Drosophila melanogaster: one gene and its partners. Changing the gene in region 3 together with the main gene of any one other region gives a genetic interaction. Each region holds a gene or a part of one and is shown on either strand. Other genes may lie near its edges.

The links. Genes that interact genetically often act in the same process or in processes that back each other up.
Region 1: of Arf6 (region 3) and amn, changing one enhances a phenotype caused by changing the other (phenotypic enhancement), as found in Drosophila melanogaster (one study listed by BioGRID).
Region 2: of Arf6 (region 3) and RhoGAP18B, changing one suppresses a phenotype caused by changing the other (phenotypic suppression), as found in Drosophila melanogaster (2 studies listed by BioGRID).

Annotation. Positions count from the first base shown.
Region 1 is NC_004354.4:19,885,598-19,892,023, forward strand, and holds amn (amnesiac), read right to left. Parts: upstream 4,464-6,426; 5' UTR 1,896-4,463; coding exon 1,353-1,895; 3' UTR 511-1,352; downstream 1-510. UniProt on the Drosophila melanogaster protein: Required for associative learning and memory in adults. Expression pattern suggests a modulatory role in memory formation. Controls neurotransmitter-mediated signaling pathways associated with the structure of the larval peripheral nerve.
Region 2 is NC_004354.4:19,155,192-19,159,923, reverse strand, and holds the start of RhoGAP18B (Rho GTPase activating protein at 18B), read left to right. Parts: upstream 1-1,722; 5' UTR 1,723-1,804; intron 1,805-4,732.
Region 3 is NT_033778.4:15,320,774-15,326,040, reverse strand, and holds Arf6 (ADP ribosylation factor 6), read right to left. Parts: upstream 3,541-5,267; 5' UTR 3,329-3,540; exon of another isoform or gene 3,300-3,328; intron 3,239-3,299; exon of another isoform or gene 3,011-3,238; intron 2,918-3,010; 5' UTR 2,900-2,917; intron 2,593-2,899; 5' UTR 2,558-2,592; coding exon 2,476-2,557; intron 2,197-2,475; coding exon 1,894-2,196; intron 1,840-1,893; coding exon 1,697-1,839; 3' UTR 551-1,696; downstream 1-550. Other genes in the region: CG8157 (uncharacterized protein), read left to right, coding at 1-80; CG8155 (uncharacterized protein), read left to right, coding at 4,021-4,065, 4,153-5,267. UniProt on the Drosophila melanogaster protein: GTP-binding protein involved in protein trafficking; may modulate vesicle budding and uncoating within the Golgi apparatus. Promotes cell movement and remodeling of the actin cytoskeleton during compound eye morphogenesis.

The DNA.
Region 1 (6,426 bases), on a different chromosome or scaffold from region 3:
ATCCCATCCGCACCCACTTCCTTCTGCCCGCACTTTCTTACTTTCTTACTTTCGTATAGTTCTCGGTTTGGCATTTCTATGGACTCTCGACTATCTTATCAGCTGGGCTTGTGTGTTTGAGTGTTTGTGCAAAAACAACGGCAAACAGATTTCTTTATAAGCAAAAAATAACGTTATTGGCGAGATTTCCGACTTTTGGCAAGATTGTTGAGATATCCGAAATATTTGATATTATTGGATTTTGAATGTATATATAATCCTTATATGAATATACCATTCCTTTATTTACTGCTTAAAACATCAATCTCTCTGCCTTGTATTATTTGCAACTATTTTATGTTCTGAGGTAAAACAATAATTCGAGTATGAACCAATTTTATCCTTATCAACTATAGAAAATAGAAAGCAAACCAAAACAAAACCAAACCAAACCCAAAAAGAAATAAATAAATCAACCGAAGCGAGGCAATACAAAGTGCTCACAAAGTACGTTGAGACTATAATGAGCTGAATTCACGATTCTTATCAGCTGCAATCAGTTTATTTTTAATCATAATAATGCCTTAAGCACGATAGTTCTTTAAAATATTTACTTGGACTTGGAAAATAGAATTTGTAAAAGTTGAATCTCTAACATATTTACATAGCAGTGTGCCAGAGTGCAAAGCAATTTTGCATTGGCTTTTGATTGAATAACATTGATTTTCTGTTCTATTGCTCTGAAATCTTTATCTTCGCCTTGTTGACGAATCGCACTCGATTCGAATTTATTTCGATCGAAAGAGCTCTCGACGCTGGCGATGATGTGGATGTGAATGTGGATGTGGATGCTGATGCTGATGGCTCCCTTGCCAATGTTTTGGCCACTCCGCCCAATATCACGCCTTCAATCCCCAAACATTCTTTTCGCTCACATGCGGTTGCTTTTCCATACCCAAAAAAAGTTCAACCGGTATTTGTGCATAGTTCTTTGACTAAAGTACACGTACTAATACATTATACACACATTAAAAGATCAAAGCGAGCTAGAATATTTTCATTGTTTATGCTTATATAATGAAGGATAGGATATCCTATTATTTGGCATGAAAATGTGTATATTTTAATTTGTTTTCCCATTTGCAGAGCAGTTTAAAAGCTATTAACTGAGAATTGTTTTTCACTATTCTCTCATCATAGTGCATCGATTTCTGAGCAAAATTATATTAGTTTATTTGTTTATAGTGAACGAATTGTAATATTATAGCTGATAGACTCGAGTTTAGAGTTCGCAAAAAATGCGGATTATACGGCGTATGTGCAAGCCGGAAAACTTGGCTTCTGGATTGTTCTAGTGTTTTGGCTTTTCTTTGCTATCTCATCTCTCCCAAAAGAGAGGGAGAGAGTGCTCTTGGGTTCTCGCGAGAGAACTTCGGCTGGCCTCGTGGCACTGACCGCCGACCAATCAGAGAGCAGCTTGGCCACTTCGTGAGCACCTTCGTTTCGCTGTCGTTGCATAATGGCCAAGAGGCGACAAGTGTTGGCCCAAACCGAGTCCGAGCAGCAGCGAAACGCTGGCCCACAGGGAAAACAAGGGAAAAGCACGAAAAATTCGGGCGCGGAATGTAAGAGCGCTTACAGCAGAGCACAGCAGCGCACAGCGACCGCGACTGAGCGCCATTGCGGTGGTAGTGGTAGCGGAGCTGCGTCGTTCGGCACTCTTCGGCTCTCTCTCTTCGGCTGGCGCTCAGCTGTTCGAATTGGCGGCAGAGCGCCAGTGCTGCGCTACCTTTCGAACCGCTTACAACGCGTCGCCGCAACGCGGACGCTCTAAAAAGTAAAAAAAAAGTGTAAAACAGTAATACGCAGTGCAACGCCACAGCAGCCGGATAAAAACAACAACAAAAACTGCGCATGTAAAGCTGTGTTTATATTACTTGTTTTTTTTTTTACGGTGTCTCGCTGTTTTTGCTTTCGTCGCAGACAACAAAAGTGGCAAAGTTTTCGCCACGGCATTGCTCATACGCCCCGTCTCTTGCAAATTCGCTCACACTCACACGCGCGCCAATACCAGCGCACATTCACATATATACAAGTGTACGCGCGCGTTTTTCAGTGTGTTTCGTTTCGTTTTTTTTTTCTGTTTCTGTTGGTGACATGCAAAAAGCAACAAAAAAATAATAATAAATACATATAACGAAAACGATTAGTTCGGCGTTTTCTCGTAAAAGTGGGCACCAAAATGCATCAGCCCAGGTGGAAATCAAAACAAAAACAAACCGAAAAATAAATAAATCATTTATTATTTAAACATCGCAAAGTAAGCTTCTCCTCGCACACAAACACACACAAACTCGCGCGCTCATAGACTGGCTCACATACACACTAGCATACACATCTCACTCACACGCAGATGGAGCAACAAGTTTGCGTGCCACAAAATTTCCATTCGGCAATTTTTTGCGATTCTGTTTGTTTTTATTTTCATTTTTTTTTTTTAGCCTGATAGTTGTTGAGAACAAGCCAGCTTTATCTTGTTGTTATTTTACTCGAAAATAATGTAGATGTACATACAGCTTGTCAAGTTTTTAATGCAATTGCTTGGGTCTAGATCGTTTATATATTTTTATTGTACATCTATCACGTTGGTAAACAATAAAAATTACGCTTGTAAACCTAAACAAATTTGATTTGGAACGAAAATACTTGACAAACTGTATTAAAATTTTAATTAAAATTTAAACTACGTTTCGGTTATTCCATGAACTTCATTTCAAATCGAATTGAAATGTGTTTTTCCACTGCGGTTTTTCAACTGCAATTAGGGCTTTGAAAATTGATAATCAGAAACCACAGACCAAATTCATATGGATTAAATATGCAATGGAACAATATTAACAAGTGACCTAAAATAGATTCCGAAAAAGCCCATATTGTTTCCACCAGTTTTCCTTCTTAGATCACAGTTCCTATAAATAACTCTCTTAGCAAAGGAGTGCATGAATCAGTAGATATGAGTGAGTCGTAAATATTTTATAATATCACGAGGAGATAGTTGGCTAATCTTGAATGAGATCACTAAGAGATCCTTTATATTATTTTTTCACATAGGATGCCATATGTCATTTGCTTGATTCAGGATGTTCAGTACTTTTGATTCATTTAATTTCAAGTTTGACAATGATATGTATCATCTATTTACTTGATTAGCGATCAAATCTGTTTTCCATCTTGCGCAGCGGTTCCGTTTGATACTCTATACATATCCGATATCCTTTCATGAATGCCAATGTGTGTGCGTGATTAAATCCGCACCATGTGGACGCTCGGAACATTTGGTATATGTGCATACATACATATATATCTGCTTAGATCCTTGATCCCACATTGTTCGCGGTCCTTGTCTTCGTATTCTTCGGTTGACGCTAAGTACAACGCCAAAGTATCGTCCTTCTGTCGAGGACGCTGTTGTTGTTGCTGTTGTTGCTGTTGTTGCTGCAGCACACACCTTTGCACTTTAATTTCTGGCGTCTTGTTTAGCATCTGCGCCGGGTGTTATTTAAAAATAAAAGAGGAAGAAGAACGAGCCAGGATGAATGGTAGGGATGGGATGGTATGGAATGGTATGGGGAGGGACTCGAGAGAGCGGGTATATGTGAAGTCGACTGGCGACGGCGGCGGCGGCAGCAGCAGCGGTTTTAATGTCAATAAGACGCGGCGGCTATTGCCAGTCACTCACACCATCGATCGCCCCCTCTCGCTCGCACACTTATACACGGCCACACGGCGTGTGTGTGCACGCGGTCAGGACGTGCACACACACACTTGCGAAGCAACAGTGCCGTCCCATATCCTTCGGCTTGTTTATCCTTATTTTCTCTCAATTTCATGCTTCCTGCTCCCCTGCCGACTTGCCTCCACCTAAACCCTCTCTCTCTCTCTCCCTCTCTCACACTGAAAGAAAAGGAGCAGCCTTTTGAATCTGTAGTTCTTAATCCTTTTCATCTGCAACAGATGTCACTGCCTAACATTTTTATCTGCGCGTTTTATCTGGATCCTGTAAAAAGGAAGCTATGGTTATGCTTGCTGAAAGGTATTTTCGCCAGTGTACATACTTAGCCACCAATCGTCTCTGGCTCATTATTGTTATTACGTATACGGTAGTAAGGGTAGAAAAAGGAGTAAATATACAACTAAGGCGTTTTCGTATGCGATTTCCGAATCATCCGTTATTATTAATGGGTAAATAAAAATTCGTCTCTTAGTAGATGAGTATCTTAACGTATTGCATTGGGGAAATAACTAAAATAGTAGCGTATCTATTAAAGCACATAAAAACATTAATGAGCACTAAAGTAACCGTTAGTTATTTGACAATTTGCCTGCCTGAATGACCAAATCTGCCGTTGGTATTGTATTGTTTTTCCGAGTCCGAAAAGCTTGCAATCATGGCTTTTGCGCACTTAGGATGTGCGCACCCCTTCCGAAGACTTCCACACACACGCGGACGCACATCAGCTGGTTAATAACAATACACACACACACACACACACACACACCGATGTGTGGAACTTGTTCTGCCTGCCACGCAATTTCAAACGGCCTTGAACGGCATTTGATAGTTGCTTTCGTCGTCGGTTTTGGCACTGCCCTAGACCTGCATGCCATGCCAAGCCATGCCATCTATGGGAACCCAATCCATACCACATATCAGTACATGTACATATATGTACACACATACATACATACATATATATATATCGTATGCAGCCACTCGTGCAGCTGTTGTCAAAATAAGGGTTCGTACTGGACTATTTCAATTAGTCGCTCAGAAAAGGGGTATATTGTCTTTGGGAAAACGCGTGCAACAGGTAAAGGGGTGTGTTTGTGGCATTATAATAGACGAGTTTCTGATCAGTAGCAACAGCTTTGTAATATATATGAAATATATGTATGTATTATGTATGCTTCAATGCTTCACAATTGTTGGTGCATATGCAGTACAGGATATAATTGAGGTATGTGTACATACATATGTACATACGTACATAGAAAGGATGTTAAAGCTGATAGGTTCCTTTCATCCGTTCGATTGGACTTTTCTGCATATTAGACGATATGATCTATACACTTATGTATATTACTTAATAATTAAAAGGAGAGGACGGCACTACGTTTAACTTGAACACAGGTGCACAACATACAGACGTTCATATATCCATATGTATATATGTGTACGTACCATGGATTTTGTCCAAAATTTGCATTTTGCAGCTGCACAACAACAGTTGAAAGCGATTCAAGTCAAGTCCGAGTCAAGTCGAGTCGAATGAAATTGATTCGATTGGCAACTCATAAATAAACATGAGCTGGGGAGATCGTTAAACGAACATGCTTGCTGCACCGCCCCTCTCCGTCCCACAAAAGATTCGCATTCTCCTAAAACCCATACAATCTATACAAACCATAAAGAATCGACCTAACTGTGGCAATATTGTAAATGCAATTAACTGTAGTTCTCTGCCGCCGCGCTGCGCAATTGAATGTCGGCCATTGGATAATCGAGGGGTTTGGGGAACTGGGACCACCATATAGGGGCAGTTAGCACGCGTCAACTCTATATAGCTATAAAACACGGCAAAGATACAAATACGGCAGTATTATCTATTCGAATCTTACTATTGGGATTCAGCGGGATACCAGAAGAAAGCATTGCTTTTGCAATCAAAAATCACCAAAAGTATAAAAATACTATCATAACTAGCCATGCGGATCTTACAAATCCAACGCTTGAACCATTGACCATTATTTTCTTACGTCGGATAAATTTGTTTTCAAAAAAAAAAAAAAAAAAGACTTCGTACCATCTTGTTTTAATATGTGACAGGAAGTTTGGTTTTAAATGTGCGGATTAGATTAGATACACGGTCATATCCCTTATCTATTTCACTTGAATTATTGTAATAAGTTATCTGTTGATATACTCGGAATTTCACTTAAGATGTGAACTTTACGTTGTGTTCTTTTACAATCGATCGAACGATCATAGATGAAATGTGATGATTAGCGGGCCCATAAAAGCGTTCTTTCTGAAGAAACTGCTCAAACTCGATCCATTTGCTTTGCCTAGAATGTTTTAAACAAATAACTGACTATGCGGCTAGGAGATCAAAACGAGTTTTTAGGTTAGTAAGCATTCAGAAATACTATCGCAGCAATCGCTCCATGGGCTTTGACTTTATGGGCTTTGAGCGAGTGAATAAATAAGTTCCGTTTGTTTTATATATATATAAATATTTTTTTTTTTTGCATTGCGGATCACTTTGATTAATTTATTCTATGGAAATTTCTTTCGATCATTTTTGCGATTAGTCTTCGCATTCTTCTCCCTCGTCTTCTGGTCTTCTGGTAGCGCCTACTCGTCTTCTACAACGCCCACACTAACTA
Region 2 (4,732 bases), on a different chromosome or scaffold from region 3:
GCGTATTTGTTGTTTTGTATCCGCATCTGTATTTGTATTTGTATTCGTATCTGGTGGATACATTTGATGCCGTCGGCAGCGAAGCCAACAACAACAATTGTGTTCATTGTGCTTAATTAATTTAGTTCAAAGATCAAGCGACCATATTGCTGAACATCGGCTGCAATGCGATTCTTCGCCGGCCTCTGCTCATTTTCATTTTTATTTTCATTTTCATTTTTATTTTTATTTTCATTCTCAGTCTCACTCTCATTCGCCTATTTTTTAAGTCTCTTCCCCGGAATTGTTGTTTTTTCCCCAAAGATGCATCCTCATCTTTTCTTTCTCTATTTGCTCCCGGTTCTGTTTTATATGGATTCCGATTTTTGTAAATATCGGTCGTGTACTATATGGATCTTCAAAACATGATTGCGAGCAGTATTATGAGGAACAGGATTATGAGGATTGGTTTCAAAATTCAATAAGAAATAAGAGAGCTTACGGTTCGTGCTGAAAGTGCAGTTCTCATTTTCATATCGGAATTGCTTGCAATAAAGTGTTGAGCAAAAGTATGTATGTACATATGTATATGCATATCGTAATCGGTTTACGCAACTGTTGTGCATAAATTGAACAGTGTTTAGCATTCATCATGGTTACTTACACAGCTCGATCCACCCGCCCAGCACCGCCCCCTCTGCGGTCCCAGAACCGACCCCAGCCCCCCCCTTTTTTTGCACCCCCTACTCCCAACTCAGCCGAACTGAAAAACAAACTCCCAACCCTCGACAGCACCCCCCCCCCCTTTACCACCCTCCTTCAGGGACCGCACTCGATATGCTTAATTAGGCAACGGGCGTTGAGTATAAAAAGCGTCTTTTGTCGCTGCCACGCCCCACCCTTACCCTCTCACCCCCTCATTAGCCCATGCCACCCCCAACCCTTACACACACACGCACATTCGTGAATGTGGTGGCGCACAGCCAGACAGAGCCACACATGTTGCCCATGTTCCATTACACACATGTGGTTCGGTTTCAGTTCAGTTTTAGGTTTGTTCTGCTCTGCGCTGTTCTGTTCTGTTCTGGGCTTTTGCCTCCCCATCACTGATCTCTGGCCCACACTGGTCAGCATGACATGGGTACGAAGGATAGTTTCAAGCTCGGTTGACATGAGTCATAGTTTCACCGATGATGAATCACAGCTCATAATGGTCCATAGTCATGGTCATAATAATGATCCATAGACTTTGCCTATAAAAGTAAATAACTGTAAGAAATGTATTAGACAAGGCAAGAATTTCTATTGAATCTTATATTAATTTAAAAAGTTTTATTCTAAAGAAACTTATTGATGATATAATTTTGTAAGGCTGGCATATATAGTTAGCATTTATAGTTTTTAAAAATACTGATATATCCTGTAATATATGTATTATATTTCATTTGAATATCTGAAATATTTGAAATTACCCGCTTATAATTCCCAACTTGCTTTTTCATCGGAAGCAACAAAATTTTGTTGCGGGCTTTGGGGGTTAGTGCCCACTTTTGCTGACTAGTGTGGAGTGCTCGAGTTCCCTGGGTGACCGGAGGTCGGCATCGCCATAGCCATAGCCACCGCCACCGACTCGTGGCGTCGACTGCGACTGCGACTGCGACTGCGCGGCGACTGCGACGTCAATCGCTTACGAGGCGGACCGCCACCCAAGAAAATTCTCGGCGGCATCTTGAGTTCAATTTCAGTTGATATTCTGTTAAATTCGCGAACGCGTCGCGCCTGCAGCTCCCGATTTGATGGAGAGCCCCACCTCAAGCCCAATTTCGTAATGCTCCCATTTAAAGCTCGGCTTATCAGTGCTGGCCAAAATCGGTGCTTTTTGTTTTGGTGCTCGGGTTTCGGTATTGAAGCCCACCAAGTGCCTCGATCGATCTACAATAGTTTTAATAATAAAACAGTGCATTTGGGGAAATTGGAGAGAAAGTGAGATAAGCGCTGCGAGATAACGGGACCAATCCCGTTTTATTTGTTCCTTCCTTTCGCCCATAATATGGGTGTGTGTGCTCATGTGTTTCTTGTGAATTACAGTATATTGCTTTTACAATGGCATTCATCGTCATTTATTCATTTGTCGCGCCATCTGAAAATGAACGGCGATGAATCATCGGCATAGGCAAATCAGCGGATTACCCACAATCCACACTGATTGCATTGCTGTCTCCTTGGGGGCTGCACAATTTGGACAGGTTTTATTGACGGGGTCAAGAAGGTCTCGATCGAATGCCCAAAAGTATGCAAGTTTATCACCAAGGCGCCCGAAAAACCAAAGTTTTGCGGTTTTGTTTTTTTTGTATTTGAGGAATCAAACTATAAACTGTGTATTTTGCCAGTGTTTGAAGTTAAACTTAGTTAATTGGGTTCAACAAAATATATATCATAATCATATTAAAAAATATAATATTCAATTGGTTGTGCTACAGCTATTTTTATAGCTATTTATAACGAAACGGATTTTCTGAATGAAAATTTTTAAAAAAGTATATGAATTCGGTATCAATATATTTTTTCTATGCTATTGCTGCATTTTGGTGATTCGTATCAGTACATAAAAACATTTTATTAATGAAATTTTAACACTTTAAAGTGAATCGCAAGCATTTCTTAAGTCATGAAGGATTTGAAATATATACTTTCAAAATTTCCAAAATGAACAACAAGCCCAGTGATGTCAGGCTTCTAAATAGTTTATTCACTTATTTATTAATAACTATGCTTCAGAACCTTCAGACCCTAGGGATTCAATTTAAGAATTGTTTATTTTGTAGAAAGCTAATTAGTTCAGAGAAATGCTCCTAATGAGACCACAACAATTATATTAGTGAAAACACAGTCAATCAGTTATGAAGAATTCCACAAGCCTTTTGTTTGCTATTAAAATTCAAATAGTTTGGAACAATTAAGTGTATGGCTCTTTGTTAAATTATTTCTCGGATTGTTAATATATCACGCAAGTAATTAATCAAGATTTTCTATTTAAATAAATTCGGTTTCTGTATAATTTGTGTGTTTTTTATCAGAGAAATGAATATCTTATAGAATGTTCTGTAAAATTATCTTTTAAAGGACAACCCAAACATGATTATAAAGAATTGAAAATTAATAATACAGGTTATTGTCCAAGCAAACAAGACAACCATTGACCATTGACCCTGATTCTAGACCAAAGTATGATTAACAACACCGTGAAAACGCTTTTACCTACCAACCAACCAACATTTGTGGTACCTAACGATCCAAATCTGTTGTATTTTGAAATATGGTGGTAGGCTACTCTCGACTGGATTTGAATCAGTTTTATTTAAATGACGCTGTAACAACAATTGGTGGTGTTGGAGAATGCGAAACATGTTTTAAGCACCTAAAACCCCTAACCGGTTTCCCCTTTCCGCCCCAAGCCGATTATGATTAATGGCGGCGATCCTAGATCAAAGAATTACGAATAATACGAAGCCCCCGAAGAAGATTTCAAGATCTACCATCGAGATAAACATGATTTCCCCACTTACGCCGATCGAAAGATTAATGCACGGACCCTCGTTTCTTGGCACCTTAACTCCATTAGGCTCACTCTCGCCTTCCGTTCGGGATAACTGTGCACTTGAAAAAAAAAGATAGAATATACATATATTAATATATGTAAAATGAAATTTTGCATATTTCCGTTTTGGTTTTTCAGTAAGAAGGAATTGTAGAATTCTTGTAATATTTTAAATTCCCAAAATCAGTGGCTACTATTTTTTGCCAGTGTGAACTGAGCACATTCCATATTCCACACACCATGTTCCACATTCCATCTACCTGGCGGCACCTGTGAGGCGTAGGTGAGGAAGTCGACGATCGTTACACAATTCTCGACTGGCCGCCAACCTGTTTCTGTTTCTCCGGGGTTTTCTCTGGGGTTTCTCGCCCCTCTCCGCTCTCTTCACCCAGTCATGGCCATCATTTTGAGTCCGAGGGATAAGGACGGGGGTTACGAGAGGACCGACATGGTTTGGTGGATCGGTTAGTGACTCATCTCCGTATATCAACGAAAAACAAAGCTCAAAAGCAGAAGCAGCACTGTGGAATTCTAGTCAGATGAAATGCATTGGGGTTTTTTTTACTTTAAACATTATTTGCATTTAAGCATCAAATGTTTTAGGGCAAACAAACAATTCATTTTAGAGCTCTAAACTGATTAGTGATAAGTGCTCTGGATCTTTTTGGGCGTGAAATATACAGAGATATTGGGTCTAGTTACACATATATTGAATACAGCAATGGGTTCCAATAATATTTTATCAAAATAGCTAATATATGTAAATATTAGAAGAAATGGTAAAGAAATTCACGATAACAGGGTCATATTATTAAAAGCTGTTTGCAATTAGATTCGAAAAATTCATCCTTTAAATTCCCAGATTTAAAAAAAGTCAAGCCAAAGAATTGTGTTTTGAAGGCAAAGCCGATGGTTTGGAGGAAAACTGAGTGCAGAGTGCAGCGACTTTGGCTGAGATAATGAATATCGCTGATTGCAGTCGGAAGCGGGAGGGAAAGAGACAGAAAGAAAGAAAATGAGGGTAGTGGCATCACTTAAAGAGTTCAAGCCCATTGACTTTTCTCAGTGATTACACTGCGAGAACTAAGGTCGTTTTTGGGGTGTTTCTCAAAAAATAATAGTGAGTAATCGAAGATTACAAGTTATTCAATTCAC
Region 3 (5,267 bases):
GTCAAGGTGGTTTCGGTGGCGGACAAGGCGGCTTTGGCGAACACCACAGACACCATGGAGGACATCATGGGCGCTTCTAATACCCCAATTTCTTAATCGTCTTAAAATCGTAAACAAAAAATAAATAGTTTTTTCCAACATATACCTGCTGTTTTCGTGAACCAAATATTAAGGAGACCACGGATCCTGGAGATAACTCGCAAACGAAGGAAAGAACAAACACGCATCTTGAGGAGACGCAAAACCAAGGAAATACTACACTCTGGGATTCTGCACACAGAAAAGATTGACTCGGCTATTGATCCTGACTAATAATATATATATTAACAATATATACACTTTATTAAGTCGGAATCGTTTAATTCTACATACAAATTTCATAGGATGTGTCACTTCATGTGAGAATATTAACAAGATTATCTTGGCAATAAGCGCTTCGTCACTTCGTGGATCGCTAGATGACGTTTATTTGGGAACTCGTCATCTTCATCACAACCTTTTCATCTGTAAAACGTGACTCTACTAATTATTATATATTTTTATTATTATAATACAATAATAATACAAAAACATATTTACAGAAAATAACTTTGAAACCTATGATTTGTTTCATAACTTAAAATTTATAATTATAATTCAGCAACAAAAATCTTAGATACTGAGATATTACGGGGTATTATGAATAGGTTGGTTTTGATAAAAACGGTAAAGGTATAAAACAAGACATACACCCACAAAAAATAAATTATATTATTCATGCAAGGATGTACCAAGGAGTTTTTCGGACAATTCGGGGATGATTGCAAAACAAAGGTAAATTATTGAACGCCGTGTTGAACAAATCATGCTCAGGTATACCCAGGCTCATTTACCCTGCAAATTATGGCACTGAATGTGGCATGTTTACCTTTCAAATTGAGCGCACAATACAAACCAAATGCGTTTGACACTGAAGTCAGAATATGCCTTTCTCGCAAATCCAGGGACCTTCTTCGTCTCGAAGGATATCAGATTGAGAAAATTAGCTGTTGGAGTGGGGAAAATAATGAGGGATCATAGACACACATTGAGGAAGGCACAGTTACTATTTCATTATATTTTGAAGACTCAGTTTTAATCTAAATAGCAATCTATAGGTTTGTTCAATTGTTTGTTCGGTGTTTTCTTTTATTTCGTTTGTTGTTGTATATGGGCTTTAATTTGAATATTTATTTACAATTTATTTAAGACTCGTTACACCCTTGCTCAAGTCAAATATAGTAACAGTTGCAATAAACAAGCTTTCAACTTATTGCTTACGTGTCTCATCAATATAATTTACAAGAAAAACTTACTTAAGGCTAATCTCCGTTGATGTTTTGCTTTATGTCTCTGTGCTTCACGCATAATTTACTTTACGGATATTTACCGGCTGCTTATTTTGATGCTTCTTTTATTTTGTAGGTATGTGTATTTTTACTAGTGAGAATATTGGTTGGTTAATTGAGAGTATATATAATTACTATATATATCTGACTTCTATATACCATTTTTAACATTTGTAATTTATGTACGTTCGTTTTTACGAATTGAGTTTTTACTATGCGCTTGCGGTTGGTTTTCTTTGTATAAATAAAATAGAATATTTTCGCTTTTGCTTCGCTTCGAATAATACATGCCATATACATACATATAAGAAAATGCTCGATTACGATTCTCATAACTTATGGTTCGACGTTAACCAAATGAGGCCCTCGGACAGGCCATCGCCGGATGTGGCACATGATGGTTGTACATACCAATTGCGATCTCTTATTCTAGTTAAACCTAGTTTTTCCTGGATTTCATGGGGTTTCATTGCTGCAAGAGAGAACAATAAGCGGATGGAAACAATTGGCTGAGCACTATACTAACCATCAGGCAGATCCTGCTTGTTAGCAAATATCAGTATGATGGCGTCGCGCATCTCCCTATCGTTAATTATCCTATGCAGCTCCGTGCGCGCCTCGTCTATCCGATCCCGATCCGCACAATCCACGACGAAGATCAGACCCTGTGTACCCGTGTAATAGTGTCGCCATAGCGGTCGAATCTTATCCTGCCCACCGACGTCCCACACATTGAACTTGACATTCTTATAGGTGACGGTTTCCACATTAAAGCCCACAGTGGGTATCGTTGTAACAGATTGGCCAAGTTTCAGTTTGTACAGAATCGCTGTGGGTGGACAAAAACAATATTACTTTAGACACGCAAAGGATGTATAAACAAAATAGCTCGAATTCGATTAGTGATAGTACTGGTGTACGTATTGAAAGGTCTTTATATTGTACATTTTTTCAAAGTACAATAAGAATAAAAACAAAACAATAATTGCCTCGCCTCAAGAGTATTTTTTAAATGGGATTGGTTTCCACTTAGGAAACTGATGAAACTAATGGGTACTAATCAGGCCCACAATCGAATTCGAGAACCCTTTATTGTTTATGTGCTTACTTGTTTTTCCAGCCGCGTCCAGTCCGAGCATGAGAATTCGCATTTCCTTGTTGCCGAAAATTTTTGATAGTAACTTTCCCATGGTGCTGATGTGTCATCCATTAAACCTTAGCCAATCTGAAAAACAGTTCGAGTAGAGTTGGCGAGGTCTTCCAAATAAGCATATCGATAAGAATAGCTGGGCGAGATTCAGGGCAGGGTCAGTGAATTTCCAGATAATAGGGCCATTGTAATACAGTTTGCAGTTAACATATCAATTTATGATATAAGAACGCCGTCGCGCGAAGGCGCGTAAGTGATATATGAACATACAAATGTAGCTACATATGTACACATACGGCGGGCACAGGCAATTTGGTGGCCATATAGAGCTTGTACGACGGCGGAAGCTAAGACCATTATTTTGCATAATAATTTCACTTACATTGTCATCAGCTCGTTGCTAAAAAGCGAGAAAAAAGTGGAGAGGCAGAATTTATCAGTGAAGAGCTTGCAGCACACAGTCGCACACACAAACACACGCACACATGCTTACACATAGGAAGTACAATTGGACAGATAAACACACTATAGTGTCTCGCAAATTGAGGCAGAGTTATCTCAATTGCGGGCTTATCGCTGGCTCCACTGAATGGGCGGGTGGATCCGACCGCTCCACCCCCGCCCCCTGAACAGCCACCGCACCCCTCGACGACCCAGTAAAGCCGGCTTGGGAGCAACGATATCGGATGGTTTTCGGATTCTACGGAATTTCGCTCGCTCTCTCGCTGCTGCTTGCCTACGTCACAAACACGCCCGTAACACACATACACATGTATACACACCCAAGTCTCCGACGACCGCCGTTACGCACCGCTTTCCAGCCCAATTCGTTCCACGCCAGCCTGAAATCCGTTAACATGTAGTGCCAAAGTGCGCGGGCCGGGGCATAAAATGCATTTGCTAGCACACGGCGGCCAAAAAACTATAACTAACAACAACAATTTTGCACTAATCTTCTTGTATTTATATACACATACACGAAGCAATGTGCCCGTTAGCGCAGAGCGGAACAAGATCTTCGGGAATTCCAGAAAATACGCTAAAAAATGCAAAGAATGCGGAGGATAAATACCAAAAATACTGAATTTATCAGATGAAAAACGGTGACTGGCGGGGATATCGTGATTTTTTGGCCAATAAGTTATTACTTTTGCAATTCAAAATTGAAAAAGATTTATTTTCTTATATTCATTTATTATTCATATTAATTTAGCAAACAATGTAGCTGATATATTCTCCTCGTACGTTCAACAATTTGTTAATTTTTTTTAATTTTAAAAATTTTTGTTTTGTGTATTTAGTGATTTGGTATTTTAATGTAGCCCTGGTGAACTTACAAAGCCCTAGGGCGGCCACACTGAAACCGATGATTGAAATCAAGTCGATTGATTTCAGTTTCCTTCTTTTGTATTGTTTTATATTTGAGCAATACTTACGATACTGACATCGCTCAGAGGTACAATGGAACTTAGTTAGTCGTCGACCAGAACAGACTCGGAAAACATGGCTGGCATTTGCCCCCGGGAGGCGGTTCGGGTGAAAGTGAAGGCAAGTGAAAGGTGGCCAGAAGGCGAGACAACAAAAGGGCTGCTTAGTTTGTGTTCCTCAATCTAATTTTTTTGAAATCGCCCACAGAAATGCGAACCCACTGCTCGGCCGGAGTGGCGAAAGTTTTCAGTGGACCCGCAGATCACCACGCTGGAGGTGTTGTACTCCCTGCTGGCCAAGGCCTTCGATGTCAAGTCGGACTTCTCCATTAAGTACAAGGCCTTTGATCCGGCGGGCAACGAGATCTACCTGGCCGTGCGCTCCGACTGGGATCTGGATGCCGCCTTTCTGAGGATTCACAACATTTCCATTCAGACGGCCTCAGAACCCTGCCTCACCCTGCAGATCGATGTGAAGCCATTTACGGTGGTCAGGGAGTGTGAGACCGAGGCCTCCCCGGGTAGATCCATAACGGGAGCGCCTGCTCCCGCAACTCCTGCACCTTTTGTACCCGCCCGCGAGCTTATGTCACCACTGCAGTCCTTAGGAGTCTCCCAGAAATATGTCCAGCACATGCAGACCAAACTGGGCAGCTCCATTCTGAATCAGATGGAGAAAACCTTCTCCATAGTGCAGAAAGCGTTTAACTTATCCGAGGAGCATATGGCCAATCTACCGCCACGGCCGCCCATGTGCGACAGCGAGTTCCGGCTCTTTCTGGACGCACTTGGTCAGATTCAACGCAAGGACGAGTTGCATAGGGTCATCTTCCTAGGAGGCATTGACCCCAGTCTGCGGCGCGTTGTGTGGAAACATCTGCTTAACGTTTATCCCGGTGGCGCTAACGGACTGGCACTTGATGGACACCAGCGTATGGAATTCATGCGACGAAAGTCTGAGCAGTACTGTCGTCTGAGAGACACATGGAAAGCGGCCGTGAAGCGAGGCAGTGTGGCTGGAGAACTGGCTTACGTAACGAGCATGGTAAAGAAGGATGTTCTCCGCACGGACCGCCTGCATCCATTTTATGCAGGCAGCGACGACAATCAGAACATCGCTGCGCTTTTCAATATCCTCACCACATATGCACTAAACCATCCATCGGTCTCATATTGTCAAGGCATGTCGGACATTGCTTCCCCGCTACTGGTTACCATGAACGACGAGGCACAGGCCTACATCTGCTTTTGTGCGATAATGTCACGTATGCGTGGAAACTTCATGCTGGATGGGATTGCAATGACTCAGAAATTTGCTCACCT